Tribolium castaneum: one gene and its partners. The protein of the gene in region 1 purifies or fractionates together with the protein of each later gene. This does not show direct contact. Links are inferred from orthologs where the notes say so. Each region holds a gene or a part of one and is shown in the gene's direction. Other genes may lie near its edges.

The links.
Region 2: the proteins of Polr1C (region 1) and Polr3F purify together in Homo sapiens (affinity purification with mass spectrometry; 4 studies listed by BioGRID and IntAct, counting the BioPlex papers as one, with this or other methods). This does not show direct contact. The link is inferred for Tribolium castaneum from reciprocal best matches to the Homo sapiens genes POLR1C and POLR3F.
Region 3: the proteins of Polr1C (region 1) and Polr3H purify together in Homo sapiens (affinity purification with mass spectrometry; 5 studies listed by BioGRID and IntAct, counting the BioPlex papers as one, with this or other methods). This does not show direct contact. The link is inferred for Tribolium castaneum from reciprocal best matches to the Homo sapiens genes POLR1C and POLR3H.
Region 4: the proteins of Polr1C (region 1) and Polr1F purify together in Homo sapiens (affinity purification with mass spectrometry; 3 studies listed by BioGRID and IntAct, counting the BioPlex papers as one, with this or other methods). This does not show direct contact. The link is inferred for Tribolium castaneum from reciprocal best matches to the Homo sapiens genes POLR1C and POLR1F.
Region 5: the proteins of Polr1C (region 1) and Polr3C purify together in Homo sapiens (affinity purification with mass spectrometry; 5 studies listed by BioGRID and IntAct, counting the BioPlex papers as one, with this or other methods). This does not show direct contact. The link is inferred for Tribolium castaneum from reciprocal best matches to the Homo sapiens genes POLR1C and POLR3C.
Region 6: the proteins of Polr1C (region 1) and Polr3I purify together in Homo sapiens (affinity purification with mass spectrometry; 5 studies listed by BioGRID and IntAct, counting the BioPlex papers as one, with this or other methods). This does not show direct contact. The link is inferred for Tribolium castaneum from reciprocal best matches to the Homo sapiens genes POLR1C and CRCP.
Region 7: the proteins of Polr1C (region 1) and Polr3K purify together in Homo sapiens (affinity purification with mass spectrometry; 4 studies listed by BioGRID and IntAct, counting the BioPlex papers as one, with this or other methods). This does not show direct contact. The link is inferred for Tribolium castaneum from reciprocal best matches to the Homo sapiens genes POLR1C and POLR3K.

What each region holds. Positions count from the first base shown.
Region 1 is NC_087396.1:18,340,916-18,344,518, forward strand, and holds Polr1C (DNA-directed RNA polymerases I and III subunit RPAC1), read left to right. Parts: upstream 1-1,475; 5' UTR 1,476-1,587; coding exon 1,588-1,650; intron 1,651-1,699; coding exon 1,700-2,000; intron 2,001-2,047; coding exon 2,048-2,167; intron 2,168-2,212; coding exon 2,213-2,626; intron 2,627-2,675; coding exon 2,676-2,785; 3' UTR 2,786-2,866; downstream 2,867-3,603. Other genes in the region: N-acetylneuraminate lyase A, read right to left, coding at 13-184, 230-375, 423-591, 637-782, 831-1,170, 1,217-1,468; proteasome activator complex subunit 4, read right to left, coding at 2,949-3,083, 3,130-3,339, 3,389-3,603. UniProt on the Homo sapiens protein: DNA-dependent RNA polymerase catalyzes the transcription of DNA into RNA using the four ribonucleoside triphosphates as substrates.
Region 2 is NC_087396.1:20,821,049-20,824,439, reverse strand, and holds Polr3F (DNA-directed RNA polymerase III subunit RPC6), read left to right. Parts: upstream 1-1,605; coding exon 1,606-1,775; intron 1,776-1,825; coding exon 1,826-2,561; 3' UTR 2,562-2,577; downstream 2,578-3,391. Other genes in the region: Alg12 (dol-P-Man:Man(7)GlcNAc(2)-PP-Dol alpha-1,6-mannosyltransferase), read right to left, coding at 1-102, 150-282, 325-450; mRpL40 (large ribosomal subunit protein mL40), read right to left, coding at 787-900, 943-1,312, 1,357-1,434, 1,483-1,517; Acf (bromodomain adjacent to zinc finger domain protein 1A), read left to right, coding at 2,948-3,060, 3,196-3,391. UniProt on the Homo sapiens protein: DNA-dependent RNA polymerase catalyzes the transcription of DNA into RNA using the four ribonucleoside triphosphates as substrates.
Region 3 is NC_087394.1:25,644,226-25,648,923, forward strand, and holds the start of Polr3H (DNA-directed RNA polymerase III subunit RPC8), read left to right. Parts: upstream 1-1,449; 5' UTR 1,450-1,543; coding exon 1,544-1,654; intron 1,655-1,700; coding exon 1,701-1,884; intron 1,885-1,931; coding exon 1,932-2,185; intron 2,186-2,240; coding exon 2,241-2,291; 3' UTR 2,292-2,292; intron 2,293-2,333; exon of another isoform or gene 2,334-2,615; coding exon of another isoform or gene 2,616-2,764; intron 2,765-2,816; coding exon of another isoform or gene 2,817-2,965; intron 2,966-4,698. Other genes in the region: putative ATP-dependent RNA helicase TDRD12, read right to left, coding at 367-751, 802-1,145; F-box/LRR-repeat protein 16, read right to left, coding at 2,616-2,764, 2,817-2,965.
Region 4 is NC_087394.1:6,583,433-6,587,597, forward strand, and holds Polr1F (DNA-directed RNA polymerase I subunit RPA43), read left to right. Parts: upstream 1-1,400; 5' UTR 1,401-1,649; intron 1,650-1,700; 5' UTR 1,701-1,753; coding exon 1,754-1,941; intron 1,942-1,993; coding exon 1,994-2,323; intron 2,324-2,826; coding exon 2,827-2,999; intron 3,000-3,051; coding exon 3,052-3,173; 3' UTR 3,174-3,213; downstream 3,214-4,165. Other genes in the region: nitric oxide synthase-interacting protein homolog, read right to left, coding at 3,253-3,324, 3,378-3,486, 3,540-3,727. UniProt on the Homo sapiens protein: Component of RNA polymerase I (Pol I), a DNA-dependent RNA polymerase which synthesizes ribosomal RNA precursors using the four ribonucleoside triphosphates as substrates.
Region 5 is NC_087402.1:6,496,357-6,501,114, forward strand, and holds the start of Polr3C (DNA-directed RNA polymerase III subunit RPC3), read left to right. Parts: upstream 1-1,704; 5' UTR 1,705-2,939; coding exon 2,940-3,086; intron 3,087-3,137; coding exon 3,138-3,864; intron 3,865-3,918; coding exon 3,919-4,430; intron 4,431-4,758. UniProt on the Homo sapiens protein: DNA-dependent RNA polymerase catalyzes the transcription of DNA into RNA using the four ribonucleoside triphosphates as substrates.
Region 6 is NC_087399.1:3,366,718-3,370,014, forward strand, and holds Polr3I (DNA-directed RNA polymerase III subunit RPC9), read left to right. Parts: upstream 1-1,658; 5' UTR 1,659-1,759; coding exon 1,760-1,767; intron 1,768-1,819; coding exon 1,820-1,931; intron 1,932-1,988; coding exon 1,989-2,141; intron 2,142-2,186; coding exon 2,187-2,312; 3' UTR 2,313-2,408; downstream 2,409-3,297. Other genes in the region: ATP synthase mitochondrial F1 complex assembly factor 1, read right to left, coding at 822-1,658; DENR (density-regulated protein homolog), read right to left, coding at 2,410-2,454, 2,511-2,650, 2,700-2,961, 3,008-3,103. UniProt on the Homo sapiens protein: DNA-dependent RNA polymerase catalyzes the transcription of DNA into RNA using the four ribonucleoside triphosphates as substrates.
Region 7 is NC_087403.1:7,844,260-7,847,341, forward strand, and holds Polr3K (DNA-directed RNA polymerase III subunit RPC10), read left to right. Parts: upstream 1-1,766; 5' UTR 1,767-1,851; coding exon 1,852-1,992; intron 1,993-2,043; coding exon 2,044-2,229; 3' UTR 2,230-2,232; downstream 2,233-3,082. Other genes in the region: Tcs1 (threonylcarbamoyl-AMP synthase), read left to right, coding at 2,233-2,934; Plekhm1 (pleckstrin homology domain-containing family M member 1), read left to right, coding at 2,927-3,082. UniProt on the Homo sapiens protein: Core component of RNA polymerase III (Pol III) which synthesizes small non-coding RNAs using the four ribonucleoside triphosphates as substrates. Can mediate Pol I proofreading of the nascent RNA transcript.

The sequences.
Region 1 (3,603 bases):
CTATTCTTTTACCTTGTTTCGCAATCACATCTATCGTCCTGTTGAGTAAATTCTGTGACGTTTGGGCGCTTTTTATCTCCCCTTCTCGCACAGCCACACAAATGGATTCAACCAGTTTTGGTAAAAAGTTCAGACTTGTGCCCATAATACACGTAAAACCGCTCGCAGCAGCCCCCAAAATTGCCTAAAAGTGGAAATTAAGTGGGAGATATGGCCATAAAGCCCCTACTTCGTCGGTGCCCATAAAAACGGTAAACTTTTCCCTATTTACCGCCATAGCAGCGGTGCTCTGTTGTATATCATTCGTGCTATAAATGACGCCTACAAACGAATCCACTTCTCCCGTTATATCCAGCAGAAACGACGTAATATCAACTAAAAATGAATTTTTTCGTGTCTTGTTCATCGTTCGAAACGCTTACTTTCAACTTGCGTAAACTTGGGATTGTGGTGATAGAGAATGGGGACGTTTTTTGTAAATTCTGATATTAATTTTATGTACTTGATTAGGTCTAGGTGGTTTTTTGGTTTGTTGTAAAGGTCGGGGAGGATTACAACAGCGCCGATGTCCCTCTTAGCGGCGTGTTTTGCCTACAAATGAAAAATATTAACAGTTTTAACAAATGTTTAAACTACCATTTCTATAACGTCTTTGAGGGGGGCTCCCCCGATTTGTGCCATCAAAAACTGATTTGTTTTTTCACAAGCGTCAGCCCACGCGTCCGCCAAATCTATTCTTTCATGAATGGTTAAGGACATTCCTTCCCCGGTTATGTCATTAACTAAAATTGACCATTTAATTTAATTCATTTTCTAGAGTTGCGAAATACTTAAAATTCCTTTAATATTGCAAGCTTTTAAAAAATTTGCGTATTTTGGTATAGCCTTAAGGTTTACATCAGGTGTCACTCTTTTTAAGTTAGTAAATGGGGTAAAGACGGGGCACAAAAGCCCCCGAAATTTAAATTTCTGTGCCTTGAATGCAGGCATTGCCGCTTTGAGGGCATGTTTCTTTGACGACATGTGTTTGTGAATGTCGGAAATCCCGCATCTGTAATCCTTTTTACAGAATTTGCAGTAGAAATACGTATTTCCATGTATGCTCTCTGATAACCATGCTTTCAATTCGGGTTTATTCTCCCATTCTTTTTTGTACTTTGGTATGTATTTCTGCGGGAAGGTGGTTGGTTTTTCATTTGGTGTACTGGTGACTTACCTTCGAGTTACTGTCTCGTGATTTCTTTGACGCTGGTTCAAGATTTTCGTCTTTTTTGTCGTCTTGTTTCTCATTTTCTTCTTCGCTGTCTGACTCTTCTGGCACAAAATCGGCAAACAGAGCCTTAGCCGTTTCAGGTGTGCTTATTTGTGAGTCTTTTTCAGCCTTGCTTTTCGTGTTTGAAGCTTCCTGTTTGGAGCATTCGGGTTTCGTCATATTTTTCAAAAATTGTTTATATTTTTCACAAAACATAACCTAAAAAGCTGACATTTTAAGTGGCTTTTGGGTGGTAAGGACGGTAAGGTTGGTAGTCATTTTTACGAAAAACGTGCGTTGTTTGAGGTTATCCAAGTTTTTGAAACAAGTTTAAAATGGATAATATTCTGAATGACGAAAAGCCTCGAGTGATTTTAGGAGAATATAAAGTGACGCAGGTATGTCCTTTATTATTTTGTATTAAATTCCTTCAAACATCCTTTGAAGAATTTGCCCTCGGAACCAACTGTTTTGGACGAGAAATGGGACTTGAAAACCTTTAAGAAGAGATTTAGGGTGGTGATTGTGCGAAGTGAAGAGAATGAACTCGAATTTGACTTGATAGGGATTCACCCGTTCCTAGCAAACACTTTCAGAAGGTTAATGTTGAGTGATGTCCCCACAATGGCCATTGAAAAGGTTCACATTCTTAATAACACGTCTATAATCCAAGACGAAGTTTTGGCCCATCGTTTAGGCCTGATACCGCTAAAGGCCGACCCCCGATTATTTGAAATGAAAACTGATCGTAAGTCTTGTAATGTTGCCGTTCCAAACGTTACAATATTTTTACAGCAACTGCTGAAGGTACCGAACAGGATACTCTAGAGTTTGCGTTAAAAATTAAATGTACCAATAATAAAGACAGCAGTAAAGACTCACTGCGAGCTGAAGATATGTACAAAAACAATAATGGTAATTACCCCGTTTGAGAAACAATAAAAATTGCAATAATTTTAGTGTATTCAAAACACATCAAATGGGTGCCCATTGGTAAACAGAAGGAGCGGTTTAGTGACGTGGGCCCCATCCACCCTGACATTCTCATTGCCAAAATGAGGCCAGGCCATGAGTTAGATTTAAAATTATTAGCAGTCAAGAGCAACGGGCGAGACCATGCGAAATTTTCTCCTGTCGCAACCGCATTTTATCGCCTTCTTCCCGACATAAAATTATTACGAGAAGTGGAAGGTGAAGCAGCTGAGAGACTCCAAAAATGTTTCTCTCCCGGTGTGATTTCAATCCGACATGAAAAAGGCCGCAAATACGCTGTTGTAGCTAATGCGAGGTATGATACAGGAAGTCGGAATGTTTTCCGTTATGAAGACCTCAAGGACGCAGTAGCGATGACCAAAATTCAGGATCATTTCATTTGTAAGTTTTTTTTTATTTACTTTTTCAGTTTTTATTAATTGTAATTTAGTTACGGTCGAATCTGTGGGGGCTTTACCACCTGATGTGATATTCATGGAAGCTGTTAAAATATTAAAAGACAAATGTCTTGCTTTATTAGATGAATTAAGTCATGTATAAACATTTCACTTAATATACTTTTATCAAACCACAAAAAATATAATGAACAAGGTTAAAAATAAAAAACATTTGACGCGTAAATTTTTGCTACCTTAAACCTTCCTTCACCTATTGTCTAGTAAAAAATTAAATTGTAAATTGACTGGAATCGGAAAATTATTGCCTAGGCGTAATAACTGGGAGGCACTGTGAGATCACTTAAAACTAACAGTTCTTCCTCAGTAAATTTGAGTTTGTGGATTTCCCAGTTTTCGTGATGCGTTCGCTTGAAATCTCCCAAGGTTTTGCGAATTGTTGCCTAAAAATTATTAATTATTTTTTTAAACGACGAAAGTGTGACTCACAGGAATGGGTTGGGGGTCGTTCAAATGGGGTCCTAATTGTCCAAAAACATCCGGTAAAAAGTCAGGTACGTCGTATGGATGGCTATTGATAAAAGCACACAAGCCCAAAACTCCAGCATGTCTAAATCTTAAAGTACTAAGATTCAAACTGTTTGAATTGTTCAAATTTTTCTTCTTCAATTTAGTTTTCGCTTTCTGTTTAAATTGCGCCTAGAATTCACGAATTATTTAACGATAAACTAAGAACCCGAATAATTACTAATAATTCTTGAGGGTTTGGAATAAATTGGCAGTGCAAAAGACCGCTTAAAACTTGACTAGCACTAACTCTAACTTCAGGTTGAACATCTTCGAGTAGTTCTAGCACCATGTGTTGTATATCTAGTACCCACTCCTTTTTCGAAATAATCGTGGGCATATTGTGGAATACAAAACCGGACATGAATTCGGTTATAACCGCACGAGCCGACCAGA
Region 2 (3,391 bases), about 2.5 Mb from region 1:
CTGCCATGAACCACAGCTGCCACTTCGGCCCGAAAATCTTGGCCAAAGTGCGGGACAGGACGTGGAAAGCGGCGATAACGCAGCCCCCCAAAGCAAACCGCACTGTAATAAAAAATCACAATTTTTGTACTATTTTTCAACTTGATTACCGATATATTGCGCCCAAAATTTGTTAATTTCGAACAACTGCAAAAGCGAGACTATGGGGGCCACCAAAATCGAAATGAACAAGGGGCCGATGAACGTCCGCGGCACCACTCCGGGGAACTCCAAATGGTCGTACTAGAAACACAGTTATTTGTGGGCGAGACAAGGGGCGCCTACCTGAGACAGGTTCCACTTGTGGTACAAAATATCGTGCATGGCCTGTAAATTGAAGCTTTCCTCCACTTTGGTAAATGGGCAGTATACCAAATGGGCGGCGGCGATAATTAGCATTATTTGCACCATTTCGGGGGCTAATTTTTATCTACATTCTTGAATTTTGGACGAAAATAGATTCACCTAACCTACAATTTCAAATGAGCTGACGTAAATAAGCTAAATTTATTTTATCTCTTCGGTCCGGAACTGGGATCATTGTGCTGGGTTTGGGGTTTAGGGCGCCTTGAGACAATTTTACCATCAAATTACCAACAATAGGGGCAATTTTTATTATTTTGAAACGGTCGGACACGTAATTTGTTACGTAAACAATAATAAAAAGTGTGAATTTGAAGTGATTTTGAAGTGTGAATAAAACAAATTTTGTCTATTTATTATTATCCTACTTTATTTATTTCCTTTTCATTCCCATTTTTTCGAAACATCGGCATAATCACCGTCCGGGCTTTCGTAATTGTCGATAGCTGGCGTTTCCAAAGGCCCCTCGCTCTTAAAGGGCAATAATCTGAAATCAATCTGGACAAAAAAATATATTTTGCGAAAAAAAGCCCCAGTCACCTGCATTGCTTCCTGATACAACTCCTCCGACTCTTTCCGCAGCTCATCCAAGGCTTTTTGTTGCGCAAAGAAAATCCGGTCCAGCATTTGGACGTCCGTAAGATGCTCATTTTTCCGATAAGTGGCCCATTGTTTGTCCAAAAGTGCTCTTTGTTCCAATTCACTGTCAGAAAGTGCAGGCAAAGACCTCATCCTTGATTTTTTCTCATCTAACAGAGTGAGGGGCACTTCACACTCTTCGATAGGTTTGAACTGGCGCGCGTGCTTCTCCAATCGCCGGATTTGCTTCTCAATTTTCTTCTTCTTGCGGTCTTCTCGTGCTTTAATAACTGCAGGGTCTAGTTTTTTCTTCTTCTTCAAAGGCTCGGCCCTAGATAATTGGTGAATTGGGGGCCTCGTTTCGTTATTACTTACATGAGACATGGTGTTGCCCTAAAATTGAGAAAGACACTCGTTGCAATTCCCCGTCTTGGGCACGACTGGAGGGCTAGCCTAAAAAATGTCACAGTTAGTGCCAATTACTCCAAACTTATACCACACCTATTAAATGTGTTTATCAAAGACCAGGCGCTCATTTCTTGCCTTTTTTCCTAAAAAAAATCGGCAAAAATAGAAATAGGCCAAAATTTTGAGGTTAGAACATAACCTCACATAACCCCAAAAATGAGCCAAGCTACGAGTTCAAACAGCGAAGAGATAAGTAACGAAGACCGTTTACTGGAATTAGCCAAGGCCAAGCCTGAGGGGATTTCAAACGAGAACATAAAACAGGCAATTCCTAATTTACCCCTCGAAGAACTCGCCCTGATAATCAACAAGTGTTTAAAAAATGGGTTCGTGGGCGCAATCACCCCCTAATTCTATTCCTAACCAAAATTTTCAGTTCCTTGGAGTTGTTCAAGACCAAAGACAAGCTCCTCTACAAATACAAAGACTCGTCGAAGAAGCCCGCCATTCGGGGGGCCGACAACGAGGAAAAAGTCGTGTTTAAGATAATCGAAGAGGCTGGCAACAAGGGCATTTGGATTCGAGACATTCGCTTCAAGTCCAACCTCAACATGACGCAACTAAACAAAGTCCTCAAAAGTCTCGAGACGAAAAAAATAATCAAAGCCGTAAAGTCAGTCTCGGCCAGTAAGAAAAAAGTGTACATGTTGTACGACTTGGAGGCCGACAGTTCGGTCACGGGGGGCGCCTGGTACCAGGACCAGGACTTCGAGTCGGAGTTTGTGGACGTTTTGAGCCAACAGTGCTGCCGGTATTTGCGCCAGAAGTGGGAGGATGCGAACAGCATGGGGGGCGGCCCGCTCCTGGCCCGAAACCGGAGCTACGCCACGGCGCAAGACGTCCACAAATTTATTTCCGAGCTGGGGATTAGTAAAATTTCGCTGTCAGTGGACGATATTGAGAGCATTTTGTATACTGTTGTTTTGGATAATAACGCGGAGCGGATTGTGGCCACGAACGGCTCGTTTTTGTACCGAGCGGTCAATAAATTTATGCAAACACCTGGCATTGTGACAACCACTTGTGGGGTTTGCCCCATAGCCAGCAGGTGCGCCGATACCGGTTTTATTAACCCGAAAGTTTGTAATTATTTCACGGAATGGCTCGAATAAAGTGTTTCGCAACAAACTGGTGTTTTTTTTATCCCGTATTAATTAATTAAGGTTATGTTTGTGGGGGAACATAACCACAAAAAAGTGTGGAACATTTTGGTGGTCGCAGGTTTTTTAAATGTCCGTTCTTGGGCACAGCTTTTGGCAGTCACCTGCGCTCCGCGCATGCGCCGGAGCCCCGAAGCCGAAGAGGTTGTCTGTTTGTCATGAATGGTGTGAGAAACGCAATTTTATTGCGGAAATTTTCGGTTAGTTCGCTTTGAATCTCGCCATTTCATGTCAGATTTGGTTGCTAATCCATCAGTGTTGCGTTGTGTGTGTTGTAAATGTGGGAGCAATTCTGATTAGACTTGTTGTGGAGTCGTGAGTTTTCCCTCCAAATTGCGATGCCTCTTTTGAGGAGAAAGCCCTTCGAAAAAGCGCCGGTCCCGGAGGATATCCGCGATGACGAGGAAGTTTTCTACTGTGGGGCCACCAACGAGATTTTCCGGGATTACGAGTGAGTTTTTGCGGCGGGTTATTTGGAACGTGGTTGCTTTCAAACGCTTGACCTAACGGTCCACTGTACCTACGCCATCGACCTCAAATTTAACGCAATCGGAGATCGGAATCGATTCAACGCTTGGCTTTTCAGGGACTTCTCCGAGAGGATGTTCCTGTGCAATTCGATGATTTGGACATGTGCGATGACGGGAAAACCGAATTTAACGTATGCCGAGGCGCTGGAAAGCGAGGAAAACGCGAGGAAAAGCCTCAAAGAGTTCCCAGCTGAGCTCAAAATACCACTCCTGTACTTGGCGAGTCAGACAAAACGGACGTCCTTTGTTGAC
Region 3 (4,698 bases), on another chromosome or scaffold:
GCGATCATTTGAATTTATAAAAAGAGTAGGTGTTTTTTTCTTTGTGATTGTTAAGCTGGTGCAAACTGAAGGAAAAATCTATTTTAACTGAGTATTACCGTTCGAAACAGTATTATTACTTGACTCTTCGGCTTGATTAATTATGATAATCGGCGTTTTCATATAAGTTAAAAAACTAATAAGCCCACTCTGGTTATAAATTCTAATGATCTCATGATATGTTTCCCTTCACACGATTGGTCGCATTCGTGTTATTGCCATGGTTATCTGCTGTAACTATGGTTACAAGAGAATTTGTCAGTGGAAACCAACAGATGGCCCCACACAATGCGACCAGCTACGTGAAGGGCAAGCTGTGTGACTTACAATGTGGTGGACTGGATATGTCATGAGGGCAATTTTTGGTTTAGTGGCACTATTTTCAAACAGTTTTTTCATCAAATCGTATACATCTTCACAATGTTTGCTGTTTGGACAAATAATAACCACTAACGGGCCCTTGTACTTTGATAATTGTCGATATTTTTCCTCTTCAGCTGTACTGAAGGTACAAAGGGCCGGGAGATACGACATGGTTTTCCCCGACTTAGGCCCCCCTACCATAACAACATTCAATTGTCTGAAAATTGCGGGCCAGACGAATGATTGGATTGGTAAACTATACTTGTAGTTAAGGCGACCCAAAGCAGCTTGAATTTCGTCGCTAAAGTAGGTGTCTGTTAGCAACTTTACAGGCTGGGGGATCACCTCCCTGAAATTATTTTTCAATAATTTTAATTGGTCTAAAGTGGCGCAAAGTACCCGTGAACTAGGGTCTTCAAGTAGCTTTGTTTCTCAATTTTTGTCAATGTGCCAGGATTGAAAGTGAAGATCTTAGGGGTTTTCCCTGGATGTCGTGCCGATCGTAACAAGGGTTGAATCTTCCGCTCTTTGCAAACACGTTTGTGGTGCCCCTCGAACTCCAAATCCGGCGTTGTCCAGTCGGCGCTTTGGGTCCAATGGACGCAGTTCTGGCACTCACACGCCGGTTTCATGAACATCTCTGGATTGTCGATTTCGGGCTCAAAAGTCTGCTTTGGGGCTCCATCACTATCGGAGTGTTTTTGCTCGTCGCTGTCGAAAGGGTCTTTCTCCCTGGTGGCCATTGCGACTGAAAGGCCTTAAGTAGGGCAAAAACGTGTGCAAATTCACAAAAACACACCACAACAAAACACAACAAAAATTATTTAATTCTAGGGACTTCCAAATTTGAATGATGCAACCTGTTGCAAATATGAATAGTCTCCAAAAAGTAATTTTCGGAATTTCGGCTTTAAAACAATTACTGAAACAGTTGCATAACTAATCCCACGGTAAATTGTTACCAAATTCGGGTTTCTTATTGTAATAACTTTGCGAAATTAATTTTAAAAACTCTGGAAAATACGTTAGTTTATTTGGGTTTATAGATTGGTACCACTATTCCATGTGTTTTCGGCGCGTCCTGTGCAACACAACCTCAAAATTTCACGAAGCTGTTAACAAGTTTAACAATTGTTAAACGATGTTTATAGTGGCTGAAATGAAAAATGTGACCCGAATACCCCCCGAACTGTTCAACTTGAAACTAAACGACGCCATAGCCGGAGAATTAAACAAAAAACTAGCAAACAAGGTGAGATTAGAAGCACATTTCAGCCCCTTTTAACCCCCAGTTTAAGGTAGTCCTCAACGTTGGTTTGTGTATAGCTTTATACGACATTACCAGTCTCCAAGAATCGTTTATATTTCCCGGTGATGGGGCTTCACACACTAGAGTCAGCTTCAGGTACATCGTTTTTCGCCCCTTTATTGAGGAGATTCTCGTGGGGAAAATCAGGAGTTGCAGTCAGGAAGGGGTTCACGGTACGACAATTATATTGTGAAATGTTAAATATGATTGCGAATTTTAGTGACTCTTGGTTTCTTTGACGATATTTTGATCCCTCCCAGTGCCCTTCAGCACCCTTCAAAGTTTAACGAAACTGAACAAGCATGGGTGTGGGAGTATGACACAGGAGACGGGTGCAAACATGACCTTTTCATGGATGCTGGTGAAACGATCAAATTTCGCGTAACTGCGGAGTTTTTTAATGAGACTTGCCCCACTGGTAGTTTACAAGAAACACAAGACAAGTCCGAAAATAAAGTGCCGTATAGTTTAACTGTAAGAAAAAAACTTGGGTTTGTATGACTTGATTAAAATTATTTGTTTGTCACAGGGGAGCATAAATGAGCCAGGTTTGGGATTGTTGTCTTGGTGGGATAATTAAGGTAATTAATTTTATGGAAGGGATATAAAGTATGAACGTGTGTAAAATATCATTCTGATTTACTTGCGAAACATATTCTCATTATTTACACCACATTAACTAAATTAAAACTAGGGAAAAGTCGAATCAAACACGAGACAAGGTGACGAACGATACCGAATTAAACCGTAAAATCACAGCTTTCTTGATCAGTAACACATTGTGTGGCGCCATCTGTTGTTATTTTTCTGTCAATTTGTGATTGGTCAAGAAAGCCGTGTGTAAAATAATCGAGTGTTATTGCACAATCTAGTATCAAATATAACAAGTGGACAAGTGGTTCACTTATTCTATAACGAGGCAACGCGGAAGATGTTCTCTCAAATAATCGAAAAGTTCTTTTGATGCCCCTGGACAATTTGTTAATTCTAATTCTCTCATATGTCGTAACTGAATCAGACTTGATAAACCACTAGAAGTCAATAATGGACACCCTGAAATTTCGAATTCAGTTATTTATGTCATTATTTGTGGTATGTGGCAGACCTGCTAACGATAGTATTTGCAAATTTCTCATTCCGCATAAATGCTGAAGTCCAAAGTCTCGAATTTGTGAACACCAGCGCAGATAGAGTGCAGATAGAGACAACATTGTTGAAATGTAACCAATGCCAATGTCGGTGATGTGAACACATCTGTGAAATAAAGCGAATAAAGCGGATTGCGTTTTGATCAGTGGCCACCAGTTATTGCAACTTTAAAAAATACATTAAACACAATGCAAGTGTTTCTGCTAAAAGTATTTTTTACTATATCTCAAAAACTAATAATCGCATAGGAATCACGGTGTGTTGCTTTATATTTAATGTTTTTTTCCACACAAGTGAATTTTTTCAGAATTTTTTACCCTCCCTTATAGAGTTATTTATAAAAATATTAAGATCAGTATTAATAGTAATTAATACTAGTAATTAATATCAGTAATATCAGTAAAAATAAACATAAACTAATGGAAATTTTATTATTTATAGTGTTATCCTGAAACAAGGTTTTGGACAAAAAATTGATAATAAGCTTAATCTACCACCGCAGCATGTATTTAAATATTTTTTAATTAAAAATTAAAAAATAAAAAATTGGGAAAAATTACTTTTAGGATTTTTTGCACAAAATAACATCTTAAAATGCTTAAGAAATAATTAATTAATACAGATTGGAGTTTTATGAGGTTAAAACTTACTTTAATTAGGAAGCAAAAAATATTGGAAAAACAGAAATTACGTGTTAAAATCTGGTATTTTCCGATATATTTTTTTAATTCCTACATCAGGAATAATAAAAACATATTTTTTATTGTAAAACATTCTATTACAAAAACAAACAAAACGAAATATCTTTTGTAAAAAATTTTCTTGTTGAAAAAAATTGTTATTTATTGTATAAGGGTCTTAGATGTATTTTATCTCCGTAAAGATTTAAACTCGAGAAGTAAATTCGAGCGTTTAATTAAGGGGATAAAAAAAGAAGTTAATTAATCGTTTAACTTAAATATTGTTTTAAATTTGCTGGTGTAAAATTGGTTCGTTTTCTGTAAGAATTTCTTTCAACCAAAAAATGAACTCACTGTATCTATTTTTTATAAAAAAAAATTACACTACTTTAAACATTACAACATTAAAAAGTAATTTAGTCTGCAACTAGCATTTTTCCCTAGAAAGTAGAAGATACTGAAAATGAGAAACACTAATAATTGAAACACACAGTCTAAAATAAAAAATCAATATACTCGTATTAAGAGACTGAAATGCTAAAATGCTTACAAGCTGAATTAAAAAAATAAAAAAATAGTGAAATTGAATTCTATACACGGTGATTCAAAAGTACCGTACAATTTCTTGGGTGCTGAATTAAAAGTTCCTATGACAAAAAATTGTTTGAACCCTCTTTCACGAGATTTAGGTCTTCAAACTTAAATTTTTAAGTTAATTTTTGTTTCATATCATACTTTTTGACTTTCGTTAGCGAGCTCTTGCAACATTAAACAAATACAAATTAAAAAAAACAACAATTAATGTATAATGATGTGCAAAACAATTAAAAACTTGTAATTTCAACAATAAATTAAATTCAATAACCTAGAAAACAAAAGAGCAATAATCGATACCGTTGCTAAGGAAAACAAATTAAAAAATATATACTCTTTCAAATTAAATGATATCTCATCAGGCTGTGGAAATTTGAATTTAAGTTGGTTATACAGTTATTTTTAGTGTTTCATATATTTAATTAATTTGAAATATAAGGAATTGTAGAAATTTTTTTAAAAAATTCACAGGCACAGGGAGAAATATAAAGTGTTGAATAGCAAACGCTGAATTTTGTGTGGTTCTTAGTTTTAGAGATATAGAGATATACTTTTAATAAATGA
Region 4 (4,165 bases), on another chromosome or scaffold:
TTTTTTGAGCTCATTAAGATGCCTTTTTCGCTTCTTCGTGTCCTCAAAGGTTTTTTTAGTTCAGTTTAGGGATTGCTGTTAAAAAAAAAACAAAAAAATCGGTTTTACACCTTTATTTTTTAAAAATTAGTAAAAAATAGAAACAGTGCTTTTTTGATGACATTATTATCACGTACGTCTTAAATAAGGCCTAACAGGCTTATTAACTGAGTTTGATTGATCTGAATTACTACAGAGTGTTTACAATTTTTTTTCAAACTTCTTAAAATTTAAAGTCTGTAGCACCCTGTACAGGTGGTCCAGCCCAGCTTCCATCTTCGGTGGCTCAGTTATTATTTAACAATTTATACTCTAGGATTTCAAAAAAATATTTTTGTTTATACATAGTGTCACAAAAAAGTATGACATCATAATAATAATTTTTATGGCATACTACTATTACTACATTAAGATGCCTTTCTAGCTTCTTACATGTCCCTAAAGTTTTTTAATCGGTTTTATTACTACTTTACCAGAAACATGAAATATGATCAAAAAAACTCATTTTTCTCACGAGTTCTTTTATCTGTAAGATGATGCAATAAAAGCTGTATATTTTTGAAAAACACAAAAATAAATAAGGAAAACTTGAAATAATTAGCAATCACTAGCACAAACACTAGAAATAACAGATAAGTACTTGTGTGATATCAACTTATCTAGTCATTATTATTATCTATTCCGGAGTCTGGGTGGTTCTAATCCATACAAAAATAACACAACAGATGTAGTAAGATAAAAAGTAATATGAAATCAACTAAATCTATCAACATGCAGTAAACAATAACACTAACACTGAATCCAGTTCCACAAATTTATGTTTTTGTCTCTAGAACAAAAACTTTAAAATTAATCCCTCACTAATCTGGCATCATTTCTTGCAATAATTTTGTTAATCTCTGTTAAAAAACAAAAAATAAGCAACATATCCCACTTGAACCACCAACTTATTAACGAGTTGATATCACAGTATAATATCTACAACTCACCGGTTTAGAGGTTTCCTTGTAATAATTACGTTTATTAATCCATTTCACACAGTTTTAAAACATTTATCAACTGTATTTAACTTTGTACAAGCCCTTTACCACTTTTGAAACGAGACAACACGTAAAATGTCAACACCTGAAATAATTGGTACGACTGACACAGAGTTGGAAAAATTGAAAGTCACTAAACTGTGCGCTTAGAATCCTATGGTTTTTGAGTCTTTTTTTTTGAGTTTTTGAAAAATATAAAAACACACCAAATTCCTACAAGTTTTCTTTTAATTGAACGTAAGGACTAACACTAGGACACAAAAAAGTGTCTGGGTTCCAAATACACGAAACAAGAAGAGAGTATCAAATGCACATTGGGTCGAAAGCGCGCACCAGAATCAAAAATCAAAAAAAGAATTTTTTAACACATTCAAAAAAAGGTCATGGAGTAAATACAATTGCCATGTATAATTACATAAGTGTACTATAGTAGATAAGAACCATTAATAAAAGTGTAAAAAACCGGTTAATTATTTTACGTAACCTCACATTTTTTGTGACTTGAGGTGATATATTATCGTGGATTTGTGGCCTAATTAATATTAATAAATGGTGGGTTTGTGATTTCACGTAAGTCATTTAATATTTTTGTCATTTTTTGCACTATAACACATTTGTTAGGTTTCCAAAAAAATTAAGTGAGGTTATCATACCCACACGTGGGCCCCCCGAAAATGAAAAAACAAAAATTATTAAAAACTTTTAATTTAAACGAATTAAACTCGTTAGTTGAGGATAAGAATTCGTGTGTGGAATTACTTACCCTCCAGGAACACATAGCCCTCCACCCTTACCACTTGAACGATTTAAATAATTCAGTTAAGGAGATCCTCAATTCAAGGATAGGGAAGTTTAGTGCCAGGTTTTGGGTAAAAATGAAAGTTTTGCCAATAGTTTTAATAATTTATTTGTAGATTAGATGGGATTCTGTGTGGTTACAAAAATACAAAATTGTTGTCAAAAGCAGGAAAAATCTGTGATGATTCTTGCTACATTCACGCCGATATTGAGGCCGAATTCTTCATTTTTAAGCCTGTGGAAGGTAAAATACTGGAAGGTGTCGTACACAAAAAGACTAAAGATCATGTTGGTTGTCTGGTACATAAAATTTTTAATGTGTCTTTGCCAAAGCCCAAGAAACATGAGTGGTTGGGCGAAAATTTGAACCCTGGCAGTAGAATACAACTAGAAATCACGTCAACAAATTTCGAGGGAAAATTGCCTTACATTAAAGGTAGAATTATGTAAGTTTATTTTTCATCATACAACTACATAGTGAGTCTGCTAAAAGTATTTCTCACCATATTTTAAAAAGTAATAGTCGCCCAAAAGTCAGCGTTATTAAATTATTAAATACTTTATATTTTTTTCTATACATGTGTTTCTTTTTCAGAATTTGTTTACCCTTTCTTATACGAATAATTGAATTTTTTATTTTTACTTAATTATTTTTTTTGGGGGTTAGTTACAGTTTTTTCAGCAACATTTAATTAACCATCGCTTGTTTTCAGGTGACACAGGAAATAAAAAAAATGTAGATAATTAGTAGTGCTTAGTTAATTTATTTATTGATTTTAATTGTACGGAATTGTAGAAAAATTCTGAAAAAAATCACAAGCACAGAAAAAAATATAAAGTATTTACTAGCAAACGCTGAATTCTGTGGGACTAGTTTTTGAGATGTAGTAACAAATATACTTTATAACAGACTCACCCTGTAGACAAAACTTAATTCAATTAATTGTAGCAATGTTTTGGACGCGACTCCAAACGTATTAAACGAGTCGAACAATAAAATAGTTTTTGAAGAAAACCTTGATGAGACAGTGACAAAAAGTAGTAAGAAGAAAGCGAAAAAAATTATTTTTGATGAGTCGTTCAATGACGAGAGTCTTAATTTTGACACATTAATAAAAGAAGGTAAATTTTTTATTAAAAAAAATTCTTACAACTTCTTGACAACTAATTTCAGAACCTGAGATAAGTTTAAAGAAGAGTAAGAAAAAAACTAAACGTAAGGCGGAAGTTGACGAAGATATTGAACCACCAATCAAAAAGAAAAAGAAAAAACATGTACAAGAGGATTCTTCATAAAATTGTTCCACAAATACATGAAATAAAATATAAAACACAATTCTTTTCTTTGTAAATGCCTCAATTTTTTTTAAATAATTCAGGCTTGAAGAGCTGGGCGTTCTTGCTTGGCTTCCAGTTCCACATTAGTTTGGGCATAGCCTGTACCCCCCTATAATAAAAACCGCATTACTTTTGTTACAAATTGAAGTGTTACTGTTTTACCCTCTGCATTACAATGATGTCTTTTTCTGTCAATTTTTTGCTAGTGAGCGGATGTATCCAATCTTTTTTTATAATTTTCTCCACACATTCTAGCGTAACAACGTCACCCCTAAAAGTACGGTCATTTTTTTATTTAGTGTTGTTAATAAGTTATTAACTTACGTTGGTTTGAGAACAGCACAGGGAACTGAGTTACTTAAAACATCGTGTGTTACAGCACACATGTAACGACATTCTTTCGCAATTAAGGATTTTTTGTCGCCTGAATCCTTGATTGGAGTGAATTTGACGTCAATTAAGTCTTTTACTTTGAGGGGTTTCCCCGAAATGGGGCACAATACCACATTGTCCTTAACAAACAAAGTAATTACTTTTGAGGGAAATATGTTTAGTCGGTCATAACATTTTTTAACCAAAAAAAAATAATAACCAGACCCCGCGCTGAAAAAATTACAAGTTTTTAGCACAAAAATAACTCCTCTCCGGCCAATTTCTGTGATTTTTTTCGTCTTATTTTTAAAGAAATTTTGCGAAATAATTTGTACTAAAACACTATAACAACGTGATTTTTTATTTAATTTGATAATTTTGCGGCCATCAGTATCATTTTTGGTGCAACCTCACAAACAAAAACAGAAACACTTTTGGCTAAATTTTGTACTTATTTATGTCGAAAGTTCTTAGCCATTATTATTGGTCTTCCCAAAATTTTGTCTTTGGCCAGGTTTTAGATAAATAATTATTTTTTGGCGACTTATTCATTTTTTGTGTTCTGTTCTTGAGCGAAA
Region 5 (4,758 bases), on another chromosome or scaffold:
TTTACGTACTTTTCGTTTTTAAATCTTTAAACAATATGTTTTTGGGCACGTTTTGCTTATTTTAAAACACTACAACACTCACGTTTCGCATTTTATTTACAAACATTTTTTCTCGAGAATTTTGCGAAAAATAAGATATTACCTACACTTATGACTAATTAGTATTTGCCTGAATAGGGGTCGCTCTTTTCAAAATCAATTATTTGTTCAGTTCTCAGGAATTTATTTTTTTCAAAAACGGAAACAGTAGTTTATCAATTATCAGATATTATGAAATAGGTGTGTTAGAATCAAATATTTATCTGAAATTGCATTCAAACATTTTATCAGCAATTGCCATTGTAAAAGTTTATACACAACTTCATTTCTCGCCGATTATTATACAATTTGTTCGTTTAATTAAAGCAACAGAACATATAATCCGACTATAAAGAAAAAATAATGACTATTTTTCCTTGTTAAACAAATTAATTATGTAACAATACATTAATTTCAAAGGTGTCAGGAGATAAATAAACAAGCCCAGACAGTTTAATCTCCAGTTAATAGACAGATTAATCATTATTATTTAAATTATTATAATTACAGTATGCAAATGTTGGTTTAAAAGTAAATGTAGTCCTTACTTAGGGAACTGGCATTTGATTGTTTAGCCATATTTTTGGGCAAACATTGGTATCAGTTAATTCCAAAAAGATAAGGTTTTTTTTAAGAAAAAGACAGTTTATCGTGATTTGAAGATATTTTTGGTTTGTTAACAACTAGTTCTAATAACTTCAGGTCTAGACAATACAGACGAGGGCGTGATGTCAAGGGGTTGGAGAGCTTAATTACTATTTCCCCTACACGTAACCGGTATGGTTTGAACAACATAATTAACTTGTACAGAAAAATGCACCAGAAATTTGAGGAATGAAAATTGTTTAATGACAGACATTAAAGTAATTTATTTTAAATATTACTTAACTTTTCAACTCATTAAAGTGTCTTTATCAAGCAATAACTCACCGAGGACACTTTTATATCTTTATGGTTTTTAGAAATGCAGGACTATAAATTTAATTAAAACCACTCGCCAGGCATTAGACTTCTAGGTAAATAATTTAAGTAGAGAAAATCCCACTTACCCCTCGTACAGGTAGACGACACTTTAGACCGACTCTAGTTATTTCATTATTTTTTGCTCGTAAAATAAAATTCACTGTGACTTTAATTCATTAGATGCTGTCACTGTCACATGAAACGTCGAAATTTTAAAATTTCTGACAGGATCTAGACGGCGAGACGAGAAAATTTAGAACATCACAATCCACCGGCGACTAGACACGCTGTGTGAGCGATGTTCAGTTGTTTCTACAGCACGCTTTCGCTATCGAATACACGGGAGGATAAAGCACAAAAAGAGAGTGGGAGTAGGTAAGCTTTTCCATAGGCTGCTGCAGCTTCCGAGGCGATCGATGATATTTTCTTCAGGCGACTTATGCTTCAATAAACATTTAAATTAAGTTTGGGGGCGGCGCAGATCATATCAGAATGCCATTGTCATCAAGTGGCCTACGACGATCGAATTAAATTGGCAACATTGGGCTCTTCAATTTCGTGTCAACGTTGCCAACTTAATTTCAAGTCTTAGGCTACTTTGGGTAAAATATTCAGGTTTAGGAGCCACCACAGTTTCATATTTTTTTAATGAGTTAAAATATGTTAAATCTTCTTTTGTGGTGGGTTTTGAGAATCACTGCCGGTTTATTCATGGCATGAAGGAATTCGGTTTAAATCGACCGGTATCATTTGTCATGCGTGCAGTTTTTGTTACCAAGCCGTCTAGCTCCCCTTCCTGTCACATCTACTTAGGCAATAATTTATGGACCTGCTGTATATGACTGGGTTAAAAAACTTGATATTAAATTTTTTTCTGGATTATTTTACGTGACTTGCTACTTTTATATTGATTTACTAATTGAATTGATGTCATTTGTTTATGACTTTTTTGTAGTAACGATTTGAGGGTGTGGCGGAGCCAACATTTTGTGCAATTATTCACATGTGTGACCTTAAATTTGTTTATTCAAATTTTATTTACTTTATTTTTTAATAAGCGGATTTGTGTTTTGAGTAGTCGTGATTTAAGCCACCTACAAGTCCACGTGTTTTTTTTAATAAAGTAGTAAAGTCGAGTTGCAAGTACAATTTATAAGTAAACCATCATCGGAGTTGCACAATGGTAAAGTCAAAACGACATAAATTATATGAATAATTTGTAATTAATTGAATTATGAACAATCTCATAAATATGGATTCGTAAACCCACAAGCCGACGACGCATCTGTTTCTATAAATCGCACCTCATCATCACCTTCTGCTTATAAATTTTTAATAAACTTATTTGTAAACAATTTAAAAATTGCATATGGAGGTTACACCTTCTTAGCGCCTATGCCTAATGAATTTTTCACGAGACTCAATTACAAAATTATTATTGAAAAATTTCAAAACTGAATTGAAGGCCCGATGCCTGTATGTAATTAGGATTATTTATTGCCAATAATTTACATCAGTTAATGGACTTGTGGCAGGTTTTTTAACAATAAATCAATTCGATTGCCGATTTAAAAATGTATTTAGGCAAGCGTTTGCATATTTAACAATAAAAAAAGTTTATTATTCAGGATTCAAAAACTGCTTATGCAACCAAATATATAACAAGTGTATGGCCTAGACGAAGCAAATGAAACTTTTAATTCCAACTTAAAGTAATTCGAATTAGGTTGCTTTGCACTAAGAAACAATAAATTAGTTCCTAATTAAATTAAATTAAAACCCACGGACCACTGATTATTTTCCCGGTAACAAAGAAACCTGTATTTCTACATTTTGACAAGCAGCCTAACCTAATTTTTTCTAAGTAATCACATTGCAATATTTTTTATTTGATCCCGATGTCGATTCAATACGGAAGGGTAGTTTCCCTTATTTTACTCGAACGTTTCGGCCCCGTGGTCGAGAAGGTGGGCACTTACTTGTTTCAGTACGGAACTGTGCCCCTTCTGTACATCAAAAAGCACACAGATTTGCCCATATCTAAGGTATTTTAAATGAAACTGTGCACTTTTTGCCCCTTATTTTATTAATTGTAGGTCAAGGAAGCTTTATGTATTTTAATAAAGTACAGATTGGTCACGTTCACCCCCAATCGCAATGAAAACGTTGCAAATTATACACTGCAACATGAGCGTGTTTTATTAATGTTGCGCTACGCCAAATACATTAATTTAATTAAAAAGAAATTTGGGACTGAGTGTGAATTAATTATGGAAGAATTGCTACAGCGGAGCTACTGGACGGCGTCTGAATTAATCCTGAAAGTGATTGAGAGACTGAAAAAAGATCATAACAAAAACGTGACAATTTTAGCTTTAAGAGAAAAATTTTTTTCATTGTTGGCCGCGCAATATTTGATACGGTTGCCGTATAGTATGGAAGATAAACCTGTTCCTAGTTTAGTGATAAAAGAGACGGAACAGTTTGCACCTCCGACAATTGATTTTAAACAAATTGCCTTAGTTCAGAGCAATAAAGCACCAGTGGATTCTCTCCCTGACCAGGGCGTTTACTGGACTGTTAACTTCGATAGGTTTCATCAAGACATGAGAGACAAATTAATTGTGAATGCTTTTATTAAAAAGTTTGACGAAAACGCGGGTGAATTTGTCAGACTTTTGCTACAACAAATGTACATTAGGACACAGCCTTGGGCTGAGGTCTCGAATCCAGTCCCTATTGTTGAAATTCGGGACCTTGTAAGGAAACAAGCCACTCATCAACACCTTTTGGCGTTTTTTGACCAATACGTTAATGTCTTGGGTTAGTCATTAGTCGTTAGTCAAAGTTGTTGCCAGTCCAAATATTTTTTTTTAGAGCAAGACAGTTCTAAATTAATTAGACAGTCGGGAGAGGCAGGTGGCGGTTCTTTTCAAATTTTTCTGAAAGAGACGTTCACTCAATTTGCATGGGAGACTGTGGAACAGATAGTTTTGGAAAAATTCGATACTAAAGCCGCCCGGATTTTCCGTCTTGTTAAGTCGAAACAATACATAGAACCGGATCAGATTCAACAACTGGCAATGATTCCGGCTAAAGAAGCAAAACGGCTCTCTTATCAGCTCCTGGAAGAGAATTTTTTGCAAGTCCAGGATTTGAAAAAATCGACCAGTAATGGTCCTAATAAAAGCTTCACTTTGTTTTATACAAACTTGGACCAAATCGTGCGAATGACTCTAGAATTGTGTTATAAAACTTTATTTAATATTATGACTAGAAAAAATCACGAAAGGTTGGTTCATAAGAGAATTATCGATAAGAAACAACGTGTTGACACGATTATTATGGGGATGAGGGCACAGGGGGCGGCAGACGAGCAATTATCTGACGTAAGTTTTTCTTATTTTTATATTTTGGCCGTGGTTAGCCGTCTGCACATTTGTCCGAACAATATTATTGCGGATAAATAACCGACAAAATATCTGTCCGCACATGTCTGTATAGGAGCTCACATTGTTAAATTTATATAATCTTTAGTAATATTATTTTAAGTACTCTTTCAATTGATTATTTTTTGACGATTATGAAAGCCAGAAAATCATTCATTTTCATATGGTTTACTTAACATCTGCTACCAGTAATTTTTTGGAATAAATTAAATGCTGGGTGAAAATAGTAATTGTTAGGTAAAAAATAAATATAAACGCTGTGTGAAAA
Region 6 (3,297 bases), on another chromosome or scaffold:
CCCGTTAAAGTTAGGGCTTTTTCACAAAGATATAACATAACGAATGATTCGTTATACACGAAATCGCATTGTTTGTGCGACGATCAGCTGTATTCGTGTCTCAAGGAAAATCCCTCGCCCACGGCGCACATTATGGGGACCATTTATTTTAATTTAGTGCAAATCCCCTGCTTGGAGGATACGCAGCACGGGAAAGTGTTCAGGAAGCCGAAAGAGAGGTTCTAAGCTCAATCAAGTGCCTAATTTCAATAAATTATTTTAAGTAAAATGGCGTTTTATTTGGATTTGAATTTGGGTGCGTTGGTACGCCTGTCAGAAAATACAGACCCGTAGTTCGTGAACTGTACCACCTTACTGTTATTTTCGATTTTTTAACGTAACTCAAGTTAATATAACGCACTTTTGTGTTGGAAAATAGTGAAATAAGTGATAAAAATTTAAAAAAATCAAGTTATGATAAATTTTGGATTTGGTAGGTTGGTACGTAAATAGTGAAAAGCGGTAATAAAATATAAAAATCGGCAAAATTTCTATCATTTGGGCAATTTCGCACAATCGCATTTTATACAGGACCTTTGAGTTATCATAATATTTGAAATTGGTCCAATTTTCGCCCAACAAAAAATTAGGTTATGTCATATTTTCGCAGTAAAATTCAAGAAAAAACGCTCAATTTCATACTCATAGTGCCATTTGCTATGTTATGATCGACTTTATGTATCAACATTGGGGACAAGAAAATAATTGGGTGAAATAAAACTCAAAAAGTAAGGTTATGTCACTCAAACTTTATTTACAATTAGGAATTAAATAATACATATTTACAAAGACAAAGTCTCGATTTGTTTGATCAAGTCCATGTGTTTGAACTCGTCGGGGCGCTTGGTGAACCGCTCCATCAGTTCCAAGTGTGCTTCTGTGGGCCTTACGTAATACAATTGCAACTGATTTGCGAGACACTGGGCCTCCTTCAAATCAATAACATTCTTGTCGTACTCTCCTCGCATCAAGACGATTTTTTTCTCGTCCTTTAGTTCGGTGTAGTGCGTCATTGTGAGGCACTCGGGGGCGTTCTCCTTGTGCACCTGATAGTACAAAAGGGGGGTAAAGTGGACGCAGTTTCGCTCAAACTGCGACATTATAAACTCGTAACCCTCTTTGCGAGGCAAGGCGAAGAGAAACGTAGGGTATTGGCGCCCCCTTGCCTCCAGTTCGTTGTAATCTTCCACAGGGACAACCGCCGCAATGTAGTTCTTCTGTATGTGGTACTGGTGCCAAATCTCCTTAATTTCCTCCGGGGTTTTATCCTTAATTAAGTCAAGTTTCATGACTTTGTCTAAGGGGGCCTCCGAGGCCTCCACAGAACCGAGCGGTTTTTTCGGGTTTAATAGTTGCGAGAACTTGCCTTCAGTGATCGTTTCGGGCTTCTTTTTCGGGGCTTTGGCCTTCTTGAGTTCGTCCATTCGGGAGAGGAACTCCTGGGGGGAGGTTTTTTGTAGTTTGGCGATTTTGTCCGCGTATTTCTCGTAGTAGGCATTTTTGGAAAGCTCGTCCAAGGCCTTTTCGCACCGCGATTGGGTCGTCATCAGACCTCTTACGAATTTACAGGAGTATTTTGAAAAATATCGCAAAAAAGCTAGGTTAGGAAGCCTGGCCATACTTGTGACAAGTTTAGGGTTTTTTGGATTTGTCACCAATTTGTGGTTCAAAAATTATAAAAATAAAGCAATTTGCACTCTTAATTTTATTATTAAATGCGATGGAAATGTAAGACTAAGTTGCTACGTTTGAGTAACGTATTATTAAGGCGTGTTTTCAGTGTTAATGCAAACAGCGCGACTTTGAGTAATTTCGAGGTTATGAAACACCTACAACGGATTAAGGACAGCCGGAAAAAACACAAGGGGCAATTAGCGACGATTACGTATGAGGTGATTAGATTAAGTGGCCGTAAATGGGCCGACTTTCATTCATCAATTTTTTCGTAGACTTTGCGTTACTTGGAAAATACTCCTTGTGCCCAACAAAGCCCACAGTCAATTACTGAGTGTTTGAAGGACTTGGAGCCGTTTAATTTGAACAAAAATGAGAAATTAATGCTGATTAATTCGCCCCCTACGACGGCTTTAGAGATTCAATTGGTTGGTCTTACGCAAAATTTGACTATTTCTAAGTGTGTTTTCTAGATGATTGAAGAAAGTGAAGAAAGGCTCACGGAAGAACAAGTTGAGCAAATTTTACAGATCGTGCTTCAGCACTTCCCCCACATCCAAAAAAGCCAAGAAAACGAAACAACAGAGGAGCAGGAATAATTTTGTGATTGTATTAGGATAGTAAATAATAAAACACTGGCGTGAAAAACGACATAATGTATTGAGAATAAGTATAAATACACGAATTTATGATAAGTTATCGCTTTTGGTCACCCAAATCCTCAATCAAGTCCTCATCAATCTGCAACAAAAACAAGTGCCCCTATAACTAGTGACTTTTTTCGGTCAGTGTGGTACCTCTGGCCATTTTTCGGGAATCACATCAAACAAATCGTCCTTGACGTCCCCCTGGATCACAATTTCGTCCTCACCTGTGACTGAAGACCCACACGCAAACCTGGTCCCGAAAAATTTCGCCGCAACTTTCAGATCAATATCTACAAAAACGCGTCAAACAAGACACTCAGGGCCCCCTAACCCCCCTACCAAACCCACTAAGCCCCGTAACCACGGTAACCGACTTCTTCTTGCCGCGGGGGGCCCTCGACACACACACCTGCTTCGGCCCGTCCTCCTTCTTCTTCGTCTTGATCATGCCTTTACCCCCACGTTTCTGACGCTTTTTTTCCTCTTCAGCGCCACCTCCCTCGCCCGCCTCGTCCCCGATTTTCACTTTTTCGAACTCATCGGGCAAGTTACGCTCGAGCCATTGTTTGCATTTGTCATACTCGGGGTAATACTCGCAATACTGGGGCAAGAATTAGTTCGGAAGGTCTGAAGGGGCGACAACTAACCTCAATCGGCATCGAACAGTTGCCACAGTAGATCACTTGCAAGGGGTACGTCACCCCCGTTCTGGGGCCCATCTGGAGCTTCTCTTCCACCGACATTATGGCCAAAAAATGAAATTTTTGAGAAACAAACCTAACCCCAAAATAGACACGGTCGTGTAGATCTTGCGTTGGCGACACTGATTCACTAAGCACTGACACTATTTTTTCAAAAAATTTATTATTTTGGGCGATTAATTGAATACGGCTCAAGAAATTGGCCAACCACCAATTTTGTAACCGAAAATTGCGCC
Region 7 (3,082 bases), on another chromosome or scaffold:
GGGGAGATTGAAAAGTCTTGGTACTCATAAGCAGACAAAACAATTTTTTGTCTTTCTAATCTAATTTTAACGGCTAATAAAAAATATTATAACTTTTATTTTTTTTTTAATTTGTATTTAGACAAAGGAAAGGGCCATCGGGACCCGGGCCCGTGTTCCACGAATCCGAGGCTCAGTACGGCACTGTAGGAAATGTGCACTGTGTGAGTTAGAATATGATCATTGATCAATGATCAAACATCAAAAAGGAACGACTGTATTGAGTATTTCAACTGTAATAAGAAATCTTCTACATATCGCTTCTGTAGTGTCAAAAATTAGTTTTTGTATTTTTTTTAAATGAGGCTTATTTCTCCCTGAATTATCAATACAAGGATGGATTAATTCGTGGTCTCTTATAGAGAGCAATTTTTTTGAAGAGTTACCGGAATCGACCCATAAGGATGGGATAAAGACTTCGGAACACCGATTGACCAAGTGCACATAACTAGAAGGAGGTTATAGTGAAAAGTAAAGCAAAAAATGTTTGGCCAAATTATTATTTTCTATGTGAGGCCACGACTTAATCATCCCACCCTCGTAGAATAGAATAATAGAAGGGCAAAGAAAATTTAAATGTACTCATGTTGGTAAATTATTATTAATGAAGTTTATAAAGGATCAAAAATACATAACAAACGAAGAAAAACAAAATATAAATAATATAAAAAATATAAATATAATATAAAAATAAATTGCCGTAGTAGGGTGCTATTTGAAAAAAAAATCGAAAACTAAAAGGAATTAAAAAAATATTTTTAAAGTAGTTGATAATGTAATAATTAGTTTTTCTTAAAGTACATAGTTTAGGCACATAACAATTAGCTTCATACTTTTGCCAAACGATGTATGTTATTTTGTAGGTATTTCCCCTAACATAATTCATAAAGCTTAATTTCCTTTCTCGTTTGTTATTAAATTTTGCTAAAAATAAGTCAAAATCCAAGTGGAGTAATAATTATTACTAGATATATTTTTCTTAAAAAAAAAATGCATACTTGATGTTGCATGTCCATCTGATGACCCTCTGTCGCTTCAACTTTAAAAAATAAAAAACATCCATGTTTATGGTGTTTTTGAAATAGCTAAAATGATGTCTATTTCAAAATTTACTTAAGTAATAACAAAGAAAGAAAAAAAAATATTATAAACTTCTCTATTTAAATTTTTATAAAACGTATGACCTGAAATTTGTTTAGGAAGGGCTTCGCCCTGTGGGGCCCTACGCTGGCTACGGCCCTTGTAAATTATCCTAATGATTTTGAACCAATTACCATAGTGTTTATTTTTTTTGTCAGGAAAATTGAAAAAATTATATTGAATTCTCATTTAGCGAGAGAGATAAAAATCAAAACCTTTAAAACGAAATTAACAAAATGAACCAAGTGCTCAATACCACCGAGTTTAGTATAGGCAACCCATAAAACACAACGTTTTTAATTATTTTTCTTTGTAATTCTTATAATTTTTTTATTACTTAGTTAAGTAATGTGGTATAGGAAAATGTTTGAACCATATTATTTTAAATTAAATTAATCATTGTAAAATTGTCCTTGTTTATTTTAATTGAAAATATGTCTTATTTAATTCGACTATATAAAAAGCGGAGCAAATTAGTGAAGTAATTAGTTGACAAAATAACTAAGGCCGTAAGTGGCTGAATATTTGTTATAATTTATAATTTAAATAAAATAGAATACGAATTTTGTGTTGGTGCCCTCGCCCCAGCGCTGCCAACCCACCGTGCGCTGTCATTGTCAATTTTTGACACATGTGAATTCAAGTTGAATTTCATCATAATAATCACGGGTCATGGTTGTGTTTTGTCCTTTCTGTGGAAATTTGCTATTCGCTCAACAGACCTGCGGCCGATTAGGTTTTGCGTGTCGCATCTGCCCCGTGTCATTCCCCATTCGTGGAAAAATCTCGAATCGCACGTACTTCCAAGTGAAGGTAAAACCCAAATAACCCACTATCATTGTTCCAACTCCGTCACGCTTTCAGTCCGTTGATGACGTGCTCGGCGGCGAAGACGCCTGGAAAAACTGCGACGTAACAGCGGAAACGTGTCCAGAATGCAGCCACCCCCACGCCTACTTCCTCCAGGTCCAGACCCGCTCTGCTGACGAGCCCATGACCAACTTCTACCGCTGCTGCAACCCCGAATGCGCCCACAACTGGCGAGAGTAGGCGATGCGTTTTTTCGCCCCCCTTTTCAAAAAACTCTCCCCGAAGCGGGCTTCTATGGCATTGCACGTCCCCATCAGGGACCCACATGCTGAGGCTTTAGCCGTTGATTTGTTAAAGTCGGGCCGCGTGATCGCCCTCCCTACGGACACCGTCTACGGACTTGCCTGTGACGCGACGAACATAACCTCAATTAACAAACTCTATAGCATTAAGGGGCGCAACGAAGCCAAACCTGTGGCGATCTGTCTCGGGGACGTCCCCCAGGTGAAGGCTTGGGCCAAAATCGGGCACTTGCCCCAAGGTTTGCTCGAAAGTCTGCTCCCAGGCCCAGTGACTGTCATTCTGACTAGTGCAAGCACACTTGATAAGTCACTCAGTTTTAACGCTAAAGTGGGGATTCGAATCCCCGATTATCACTTTATTCGGGCTTTGGCCCGCGGTTTGGGACGCCCTTTGGCCCTCACAAGTGCCAATTTAAGCAACGAGCCAAGTTCGTTAACAATCAACGAATTTCAAGACTTGTGGGCTCAGGTTGGTGCAGTTTTTGACGGTGGTAATTTAGGACTTGACGATTCGAGACGACGTGCGTCCACCGTTATTGACTTATCAGAATGCGGTTTGTTCACAATCGTGCGACACGGTATTGCGGTTGATAAAACTGTTGCGATTTTGCACAAGTTCGGGTTAATTAACAAACATGAATAAGTTGTTTAAAAGTGTGCACACGTCGAGTAATAAAGACAATTTAATTAAGAAGTCGATCACGGATCACTTGTCGAATAGTGTGAAAGCGATACAGTATTGCGGAGTTGAAGAAAATGGACTCAATAAAGCTGAGGATGTTACCGAAGCT